Oryctolagus cuniculus: one gene and its partners. The protein of the gene in region 2 interacts with the protein of the main gene of each other region in a biochemical or structural test. Links are inferred from orthologs where the notes say so. Each region holds a gene or a part of one and is shown on either strand. Other genes may lie near its edges. The genes, in order: THRA, NCOA6 and TGS1.

Evidence for each region.
Region 1: the proteins of NCOA6 (region 2) and THRA form a complex in vitro, tested with the Homo sapiens proteins (2 studies listed by BioGRID). The link is inferred for Oryctolagus cuniculus from reciprocal best matches to the Homo sapiens genes NCOA6 and THRA.
Region 3: the proteins of NCOA6 (region 2) and TGS1 form a complex in vitro, tested with the Homo sapiens proteins (2 studies listed by BioGRID). The link is inferred for Oryctolagus cuniculus from reciprocal best matches to the Homo sapiens genes NCOA6 and TGS1.

The regions. Positions count from the first base shown.
Region 1 is NC_091448.1:22,348,298-22,350,638, reverse strand, and holds the end of THRA (thyroid hormone receptor alpha), read left to right. Parts: coding exon 1-224; intron 225-803; coding exon 804-1,054; 3' UTR 1,055-1,833; downstream 1,834-2,341.
Region 2 is NC_091442.1:23,354,814-23,358,475, reverse strand, and holds part of NCOA6 (nuclear receptor coactivator 6), read right to left. Parts: intron 1,867-3,662; coding exon 1,745-1,866; intron 1-1,744. UniProt on the Homo sapiens protein: Nuclear receptor coactivator that directly binds nuclear receptors and stimulates the transcriptional activities in a hormone-dependent fashion. Coactivates expression in an agonist- and AF2-dependent manner.
Region 3 is NC_091437.1:81,055,333-81,058,029, reverse strand, and holds the end of TGS1 (trimethylguanosine synthase), read right to left. Parts: intron 2,278-2,697; coding exon 2,155-2,277; 3' UTR 614-2,154; downstream 1-613. UniProt on the Homo sapiens protein: Catalyzes the 2 serial methylation steps for the conversion of the 7-monomethylguanosine (m(7)G) caps of snRNAs and snoRNAs to a 2,2,7-trimethylguanosine (m(2,2,7)G) cap structure.

The DNA of each region.
Region 1 (2,341 bases), on a different chromosome or scaffold from region 2:
GTGCTGCATGGAGATCATGTCCCTGCGGGCAGCCGTCCGCTATGACCCCGAGAGCGACACCCTGACGCTGAGTGGGGAGATGGCTGTCAAGCGGGAGCAGCTCAAGAACGGCGGCCTGGGTGTCGTCTCCGATGCCATCTTCGAGCTGGGCAAGTCACTGTCTGCCTTTAACCTGGACGACACAGAAGTGGCTCTGCTGCAGGCTGTGCTGCTAATGTCAACAGGTACCTGCTGGTCGGCTGCGAGGGCTCGGAGCGGGCCGGGAGCTGGGCCTGTGGCTCTCCCCCCCTCCTGGATCTTCCGATCTCTCTGCTGCTCCGGAGCCCATCCCCATCACCCAGGTCCCTCTGTCACGTAGCCTCTGCTCCGTCACCCCCCTATACCCCTGTCCCCAACCTCATCTCATGCCCCTGAGCCCCTGCTGTGTGTCCTGTCCTGTCTGCCCCATGCTTTTCTCTGGGACCCATCATCTCTGTCGTTCACATGCCCCTTAGCGTCTGTCCCCAACCCCCTGCTGTGCCTTAGTCCCATCTCTTGTCCCCTGGTGCCCTCCACACCCCTCCTCTCTGACCACCACCCCTCCCCAGGTCCTCCCTGTCCCCAGCTTCACTCTCCCGTGCCAGGCCCACCTTTCTGTCCCTCTGTCCTCTGCATCCATCCACGGCCCCCTGGGAGCTTCAGTCCTGTGCCCCGAGGTCCCGCCTGCACACGATTTTCTCTCCCAGCCCCTGTGCCTCAGTCTCCCATCCCCGCCTGTGTTTCTCAGCCACTGAGCCCTGGCGCCCTCCCTCCCTCCCCCGCAGACCGCTCGGGCCTGCTGTGCGTGGACAAGATCGAGAAGAGTCAGGAGGCGTACCTGCTGGCGTTCGAGCACTACGTGAACCACCGCAAACACAACATTCCGCACTTCTGGCCCAAGCTGCTCATGAAGGTGACTGACCTCCGCATGATCGGGGCCTGCCACGCCAGCCGCTTCCTCCACATGAAAGTCGAGTGCCCCACCGAACTCTTTCCCCCACTCTTCCTCGAGGTCTTTGAGGATCAGGAAGTCTAAAAGCCTCAGGCGGCCAGAGGGTGTGCCGGAGCTGGGGGGAGGAGCCTGGAGAGAAGGGGCGGGGCTGGGGCTGAGGGAGACCCCACCCCCACACCCCTCTTCTCTCCTTCCCGCTCTCCCTCGGATAGATTCCGCTCCCATACACACACCCCACACTGCCCAGGTCCCCCCTCAGAACCTCCAGCCCTGGGACAGGGCAACAAATGAACTTGCTATGAAAAGGACAGTGTGGGAGGCGGGGGGAGACCCAGTCCTCTGAGAAGCCAGGGGAAGGGAGAGAGAAACAGAGTGGACAAGCCATCTTGACTGTAGGGAGAGGAGGAAGGTGGGAGGGGGCAGATGCCCTCAACTCTCCCCCTGCACAAAAGAGAGAGACAGAGAGAGAGAGAGAGAGAGAGAGAGAGAGAGAGAGGGACACCCTGCCCAGTCCCTTGGCCGAGGTGTCCCCTCCAAGCTAAGGCCTCCTGCTCCCCCAGATGCCTGGGCTCAGAGGACGACTTGGCTCGGCGCCTCCCCTGGGGGTTAAATGTTATAGTCATTCTAACTGCACTTTGGAAACAAGCAAGGGGAGAAGATAGATGAAGAAAAACTAGACCAAGAAAAAGACAAAAAAAGAGCGCGAGAGAGAGCGAGAGCGAGCGAGAGCGAGCGAGCGAGAGAGATGATATTAAGTTATTAACTAAGGCTGGCCAGAGGGGAAGGACCCCCCCTTACCACCCCATGCACTTTGACAGCTGCCCTTCCTCCTCCTCGAATCAAAGAGAGTCCCTCTCCCAGCAGACCGCACCGGGAGGGCTGCCCATCAGAGCTGTGAGCTGACACAACAGGGTCCTGGCCACCCCCTTGCCTTGCCCCTCCCCCTGTGCCCCTTTGGCACCCCCAGCCCAGTTCTTCCTCCGCTCTCTGCCACTCGTGCCCGCTGAGTTCCATCTACCTCTCACGCTGGATGCCAGTTGGCCCCTCACCTCCTGTCCTGCTGCCCGCACAGCTCCCCATTCAAGTGCCCAGCCCCAGGGGCCTGTCCCTGTCCCCCGCCCCTCACACACACACACGTGCACACACACACACACGCACACACACGCACACCTTGGCACCCACATGGGAAAAGCTGTGGCTGCGGCTTCCGCCCTCCTCATGTCCTGCAGTATTAGCTATGGTCCAGATGCTGCTGCCCGGGGCGGGAGCTGTGCGTGAGCATCTCCCTGAGTCCCAGCCCCTGGGGGCGGGGGCTCGCTTGCCCTGTTTCCTGGTCTGTCTTCTGGGCTCTCTAACCTCTGCCCTCCTCCT
Region 2 (3,662 bases):
ATCAAAACCACATTTATTAGTCAAGGGCTGCAAACTCATACGCCTGTGGTGGCCAGGCAGGTGGTAAGGAAGAAAAGTGGGCTAGCCAAACACAGCAGGAGTCACGTAGATGGTGCTGAACCACAGAGCAAATACTATTTTAAAAACATTTAAATTCAGGGTTTGTTTTGCTTTAAGATACTGTCTGGCAATTCAAACCTATTACTAGCCAAATTTATCCTGGAGGCTCCCACTTTGCAGAAAAGGGGCAATACATGAGTGTGAGGGTCCCAAGAATCATCCAAGAAGAAATGAGATTTCTGAGGGGTGCTCACAATGCTTTCTGGACCCACTTGCCCAAGACTGGTGACCTCCCAACCTTAACGATACTGCTGCAACTCACTGATGAGAACGCAAGTACTAGTAAATAACACAAAATCTTGATATCAGGATGGATTTCCCTTTAGAAAACAATATTCACTTTTAAGACATATAAATTATGGGTGGATTAAAGTTTACACTTGAAGAATGTCACTCTTATTTACATGCCAAAAAGGAGGTAGAATAACGAGGAAAAAATCAAAACATGGCCCTTCCTCCACAGGGGAAGAATGGTCTAAGTGTGAAGGGCTTGCGGATCTTCATTGTGTCCCAGGGATAAGGCTGCAAGTCAGAACAGCAGCCAGGAATAGAGACTGTGGCAGTTGGCCTTTGTTCTATAATACTTTGAATGAATGAATTTTAGGAGCTTTTTACTTTACAGCATAATTTTTCAACATTTATAGAATAATATTGAGGCCGGTGTTGTGTGAAATGCGTAAAGCCACCACCTGTGACACCGGCATCCCTTATGGGCACCAGTTCTAGACCCGACTGCTCCACTTCTGATCCAGCTCCCTGTTAATGAACCTGGGAAAGCAGTGGAAGATGGCCCAAGTGCTTGGGTCCTTGCACTCACATGGGAGATATGGAAGAAACTCCTGACTCCTGGCTTCATTGCAGTCATTTGGGGAGTAAACCAGTGGATGGAAGATTGATCTCTCTCTCTCTCTCACTCTCTTTCTGTGTAACTCTTTCAAATAAATAAATAAATCTTTTTAAGAGGCAGGGCAAAGAGAGAGAGAAAGGTCTTCCATCTGCTGGTTTACTCCCCAAATGGCTGCAACAGGCGGAGCTTGGCCGATCCAAAGCCAGGAGCCTGGAGCTTCTTCCGGGTCCCCAATGTTGGCACAAGGGCCCAAGGACTTGGGCCATCCTCTACTGCTCTCCCAGGCCATAGCAGAGAGCTGGATGGGAAGTGGAGCAGCCGGGACTGGAACTGGTGCCCATATGGGATGCTGGCACTGCAGGCGCTGTCCTCTAAATACATCTTTAAAAAAAAAAAAAGAATAATATTACAATTAGAGAGGGGGACTTCAATAGTATGGGTACTATGTATCAAATTATTAAGCAGGGTGGTAGGCACATGAGTGTCTCTTTTACATATGTATATATTTATATATATAAACAAATCTTTATTTCCTTCTGATTTTTATGAGAACTTAAAATAACAAAGACAAATCTGAACATAATGTACAAATCTTCACAAGTCATATTGGAAATTTTTACTTAGTATTAACACAACATTTCAAAATGCTAGACACATGAAGTAGAGTGGTTAGCAAATAATAATACCGAGGAAAAAAATCCCTCTACTATTTCCTTGGAGAAAATGAAGTCACACACATGATGATAAGCACTTAATCTTTAGCTAACATTTTATCACCTGGTGGCCGGTTTGAAAATTCTGGCAGCTTAGGGCCTGAGTTGTCCAAGTTAATCCCTTGTTCTCCAGGCAATGGCTGCTGATCAGCATCTTCCAGACCAGCTGGGCGAGTATCTGGGGTGCTAAAAAAATAAGCAGCATATCTGAGAATAAGCTGGGTAGAAAATACATGAAATTAGTTTAACACCTCCCCTATTTCTAAAGAACCAGAATCTGCTTGCATTAGCCTTATTTACCTCTCTCTAGTATGGATAAAATATCCAATGTTGGCATAAAAAATAACCTGACAATTTCATAAAATGTTTAAATCCACTTAATGAAATACCACTGTATTTATTCAAAGTACTTTTCACAAATCTCTGATACATCAATTTTCATATACTCATCCACCCCTTAGATGTTTTAAGACCTGACCATAGTTTAGGGCCATCAACCACACTATCTTCAGTGCAGCTATCATGGTCAACTAGGGAGTCCATATTCTTTTTTGTGAATATTACAGTGGTAACTCCAATAATTCCTAATACCTTGAGAAAGGCTGTAAGTTGGCTGATGGAAATGGTATTCAAAGAACAGAGAAAGATGGAAAACACTCTCAACAAAGTTAATTTTGCTGCAGAATGAGTATTTGCATACATATTTATTGGCTTTGGGATGCTTTCCTTTTTACTTGTAATTTACATTTTTAGTGGGGAAGAAAGTGTACTTATTTATTGATTTATTTATTGACAAGCAGAGTGGACAGTGAGATAGAGAGAGACAAAGGTCTTCCTTTTCCGTTGGTTCATCCCCCAATTGCCGCTGCAGCCTGTGTGCTGCAGCCGGTGCGCTGCGGCCGGCGCACTGCGCTGATCGGAAGCCAGGAGCCAGGTGCTTCTCCTGGTCTCCCATGCGGGTGCAGGGCCCAAGGACTTGGGCCATCCTCCACTGCCTTCCCGGGCCAGAGCAGAGAGCTGGACTGGAAGAGGAGCAACCGGGACAGAACCCGGTGTGCCGGCGCCGCAGGTGGAGGATTAGCCTAATGAGCCGTGGCGCCAGCCAAAAGTGTATTTATTAACATATCCATTCCCAAAGAACCAGAGTATTGACATCTTTTACTTTGTTAGTAATCCCACTCCTACCTGCACCTTTCTTTACCACCTCCAGCTTTTCTTTCCTTGGCCCTCATTTCAGTCACCTATTTTTATTTTGAAATTTTTATTTTTAAAAAACCTATTTGAAAGGCAGGGGGAGAGCAAGAACAAGAGACTGATGTCTTCCACCCTCTGGTTCATTCCCCAGATGACCTCAATAACTGAAGTTAGGAGGTCAGGAGACAGGAACTCAATCCAGATCTCCCACATGGGTGACAAGAATCCAACTACTTGCTGCTTCCCAAGGTGTGCATTAGCAGGAAGCTGGAATTAGGAGTAGAGCTGGAACTTTAACCCAGAAATTCCATATGGGATGCCTGCCCCTGGTCACCCACTTTTAGAAAGTATTTTGTCTCATTATATTCTGTGTAGTTTCACAAGCCACATAGATTCTATCTTAAAAGCCTTAGCAGGGTTGGGTGTTTGGCCTCGTAGTTAAGATGTCCATGGTTCATACTGGAGTGCCTCCAGTTTTCTGCTAATGGATACCCTAGAAGGCAGTGGTGATGGCCCAAATAATCAGGTTCCTGCCACTCACTAAGAGACCTAGACTGACTTCCCAGCATCCAGTTTTGAACTGTTGCAGGCATCTGGGGAAATGAACCAGTGGATGGGAGCTCTCTCTCTCTGCTAAAGTAATAAATGAATTCTCAGCATATAGAAATTTAGAACCTGAATCAGGTCCCTACACATTCAGATCCTTACAATAATCTGCTTCTTCATATATCTTCTCTCATTTCCAATTATAGTAATTCTATAACCTTTACTTTCAGAGAATTATATAG
Region 3 (2,697 bases), on a different chromosome or scaffold from region 2:
TTAATTTTGGTATTAATAATGTACAATAACACATATTAAAGAAGCATAGGCATGCTATGTTAAATGACAAAAAACTGAAAAATTTGTTCATTTTGGAAATCTGCTTTTACCCTACCTGGCACCCCAAATGGCTAAGCAGGGTCACATGTTAGGCCTGGAAGTGGTATTCAATGCTAGTAGCAATATTCAAAAACTTCGCAAGTTTTTGATATATACACTGATGCTACATAAAGAAAAAATATGGAAGTCAAGAACATTTGCATAGGTTTTGCTAATGCAAATTAATAAAAAAGTAATTCCATCTTTAATGGGCAGCTGAATTGATATTGTATCGCAGCACAATCAGGCATAACTTATAAAGTTAGCATATACCAACAAAGTTTTCTTTTAATATAAGTTATTTTTGTCTTTTTTCCAGTACTTACTAGAAATTCCTCCACTTTATTTCAACTTCCCCAGCCCCATCTCAGCCAAAATTGTATTTTGTTTAATGTCTAACAAGCTTACATTATTAAAAGATAACGGTTTCAGATCCAATCCATATTAGTCAGAGTTCTATATCTATTTATAAAAATGAGCACACTTTTTAGACAAATAATTAAACACACATTCCTCCTTTCTTTGCCACTTTAATAGAAAAAATACAAACTTCTGTATTACAAAATATATTTCACATTGATTTTGTAATGGAAATTTTAAAAACACTTTCTAAAATGAAATATTAAAAAGCAAATTCCAGACGAATCAAAGACATCAAAACAAGAACATTCCAGAAAACACTAAAGAAATGTATATTCTAGGAGTAGGAAATGTATTTCAAAATGACGTAAACTCAGAAGGCTGAAGAAAAAAGAATGCCTGATTACATTAAAATTAAAAACTTATGCCTGGCCCAAATACATGTATAAAAAACAAAACAAAACAAAACAAAACAAAACCCAAAACATGTCAAAAGGCAGTAACTGGAAAGACATATTTATAACACCTACTAAGGACTGAGGGTTCTTTAATTGACAAAGAACTCATATATATTAATAAGAAAATGACAATTCAAGGGAAAATTTTCAAAAGAAGGAAACAAAAAAGGACAAAATACATGAAAATTATCACTAATCTCATTTATAATTAAGGAAACACACACAATCAGTAATTTATCAATTTCCTCACCCATCAGATAATGAAATGCTAGGCAGGGAAGGGTGGAGGGAAATGTGCATTTTAATTAGTGTGGGTCAGAGTACAAGTGGGCCCACCTTTATCGAGGCATTTTGACCGTATCTACCAAAATCAAAATGTGCAACTTTATGGGCATAACAGTGCATCTGTTCAGTAATAAATGTTATACTCAAGGACAGTGCAGAATCATTGATAACAGCAAAAATACTATAAACAGCCCACAGCCATCCATAAGGAACTGGTTAAACTAATTACTGCATATCCAGAAGATGGAGTACAGGGCAGTCGTTAAAAAAATGAGGTAGATCTATATGGATGTACTGATACCCAAAGGTCTTCAAGATAAAAAGTCTATACTTAAAAATACATTAAGCATTAAATTGAAAAAGAAAATGAACAGTGCATCAATAAAAAAGTGTCATAGGGCATACTGCAATTCCTTTCTGTCCTCCAAGGAATTATAAAACATTGTTACCTGTGATTATTCAGAATGGTGAATAATGAGTAGGGGAGGGAATGGGAGACTCAATTTTTCATTTGTACCATTTGGTACTACCTTAAATATGCAACATTATTTTTTTACTAGGGTTTAAATGAGTAGAATACACCTCATTTGCTACTTTCTTTATATCTATTTTTAAAAAAACAGTAATTGTTTTTTACATATATACATCCACAAAAATGTAAAAACGTATAAAATTTTAGAAACACACAAAGACACACCCTAAAATTAACCACAAGGGCAAGTTTCCCTTTTCCATATCAGACACTTACTATCCTATTGTACATAGTAATATTGTCCAAAAATTTCAAAGCACTTCATTAATATTCTTGAAGCTCCTATAAGTTTTCATCCCATATGGCTATAGAAGACCTTGAGTACAAAGTATCAGTGAGTTCAAGAAGACATTCTAAGTTTCTCATCTGAATTATGTTTTGACTACCAGGTGACCTCTCTGTCCTTGTACTGCCTCACAATTAAGTTTCAGAGGCTGGTCTTCTGATTAAGTCACCAAAATAGGCAGTGATGGTCTTCAGTTTATTGTTAAGAAAATTCTGTTCTATTTCCACTTGCCCTCCAGGTCCAGCTAAGGATGCCACCTACAAAGATGAACAGAAGAAAACCACACAATAAACACTATTTCAAAACAATTCTTTCATTCATATTCCTTTAACAATTAATAGGATGATCTAGCTTTTCAATTAAGTCTTTCAAACAATTAGGCTTTTCAAATGTACACTGTTACTTCCCAAGTGGGTGTAAAGTACAATATTCTGTGGCAGAAATACTAGTTGTTTCAGACATTTTTGCTATTATGGGAAAGACCATACTTGACTTCTCCAATGACATAAACTAAACTCAAAGGAAGAGAAATAAAGACAAATTTTCCTGACCATCTTTGTCCTGTTCACCTTCTTTGCATCTTATCCTCTCATTCATTCAATATTTATAAGATACTGGGACCACACCTGAGGGCAAGACAGCTGTGATCCAGGCTGCAAGTCCTACTCTCCCAAAGA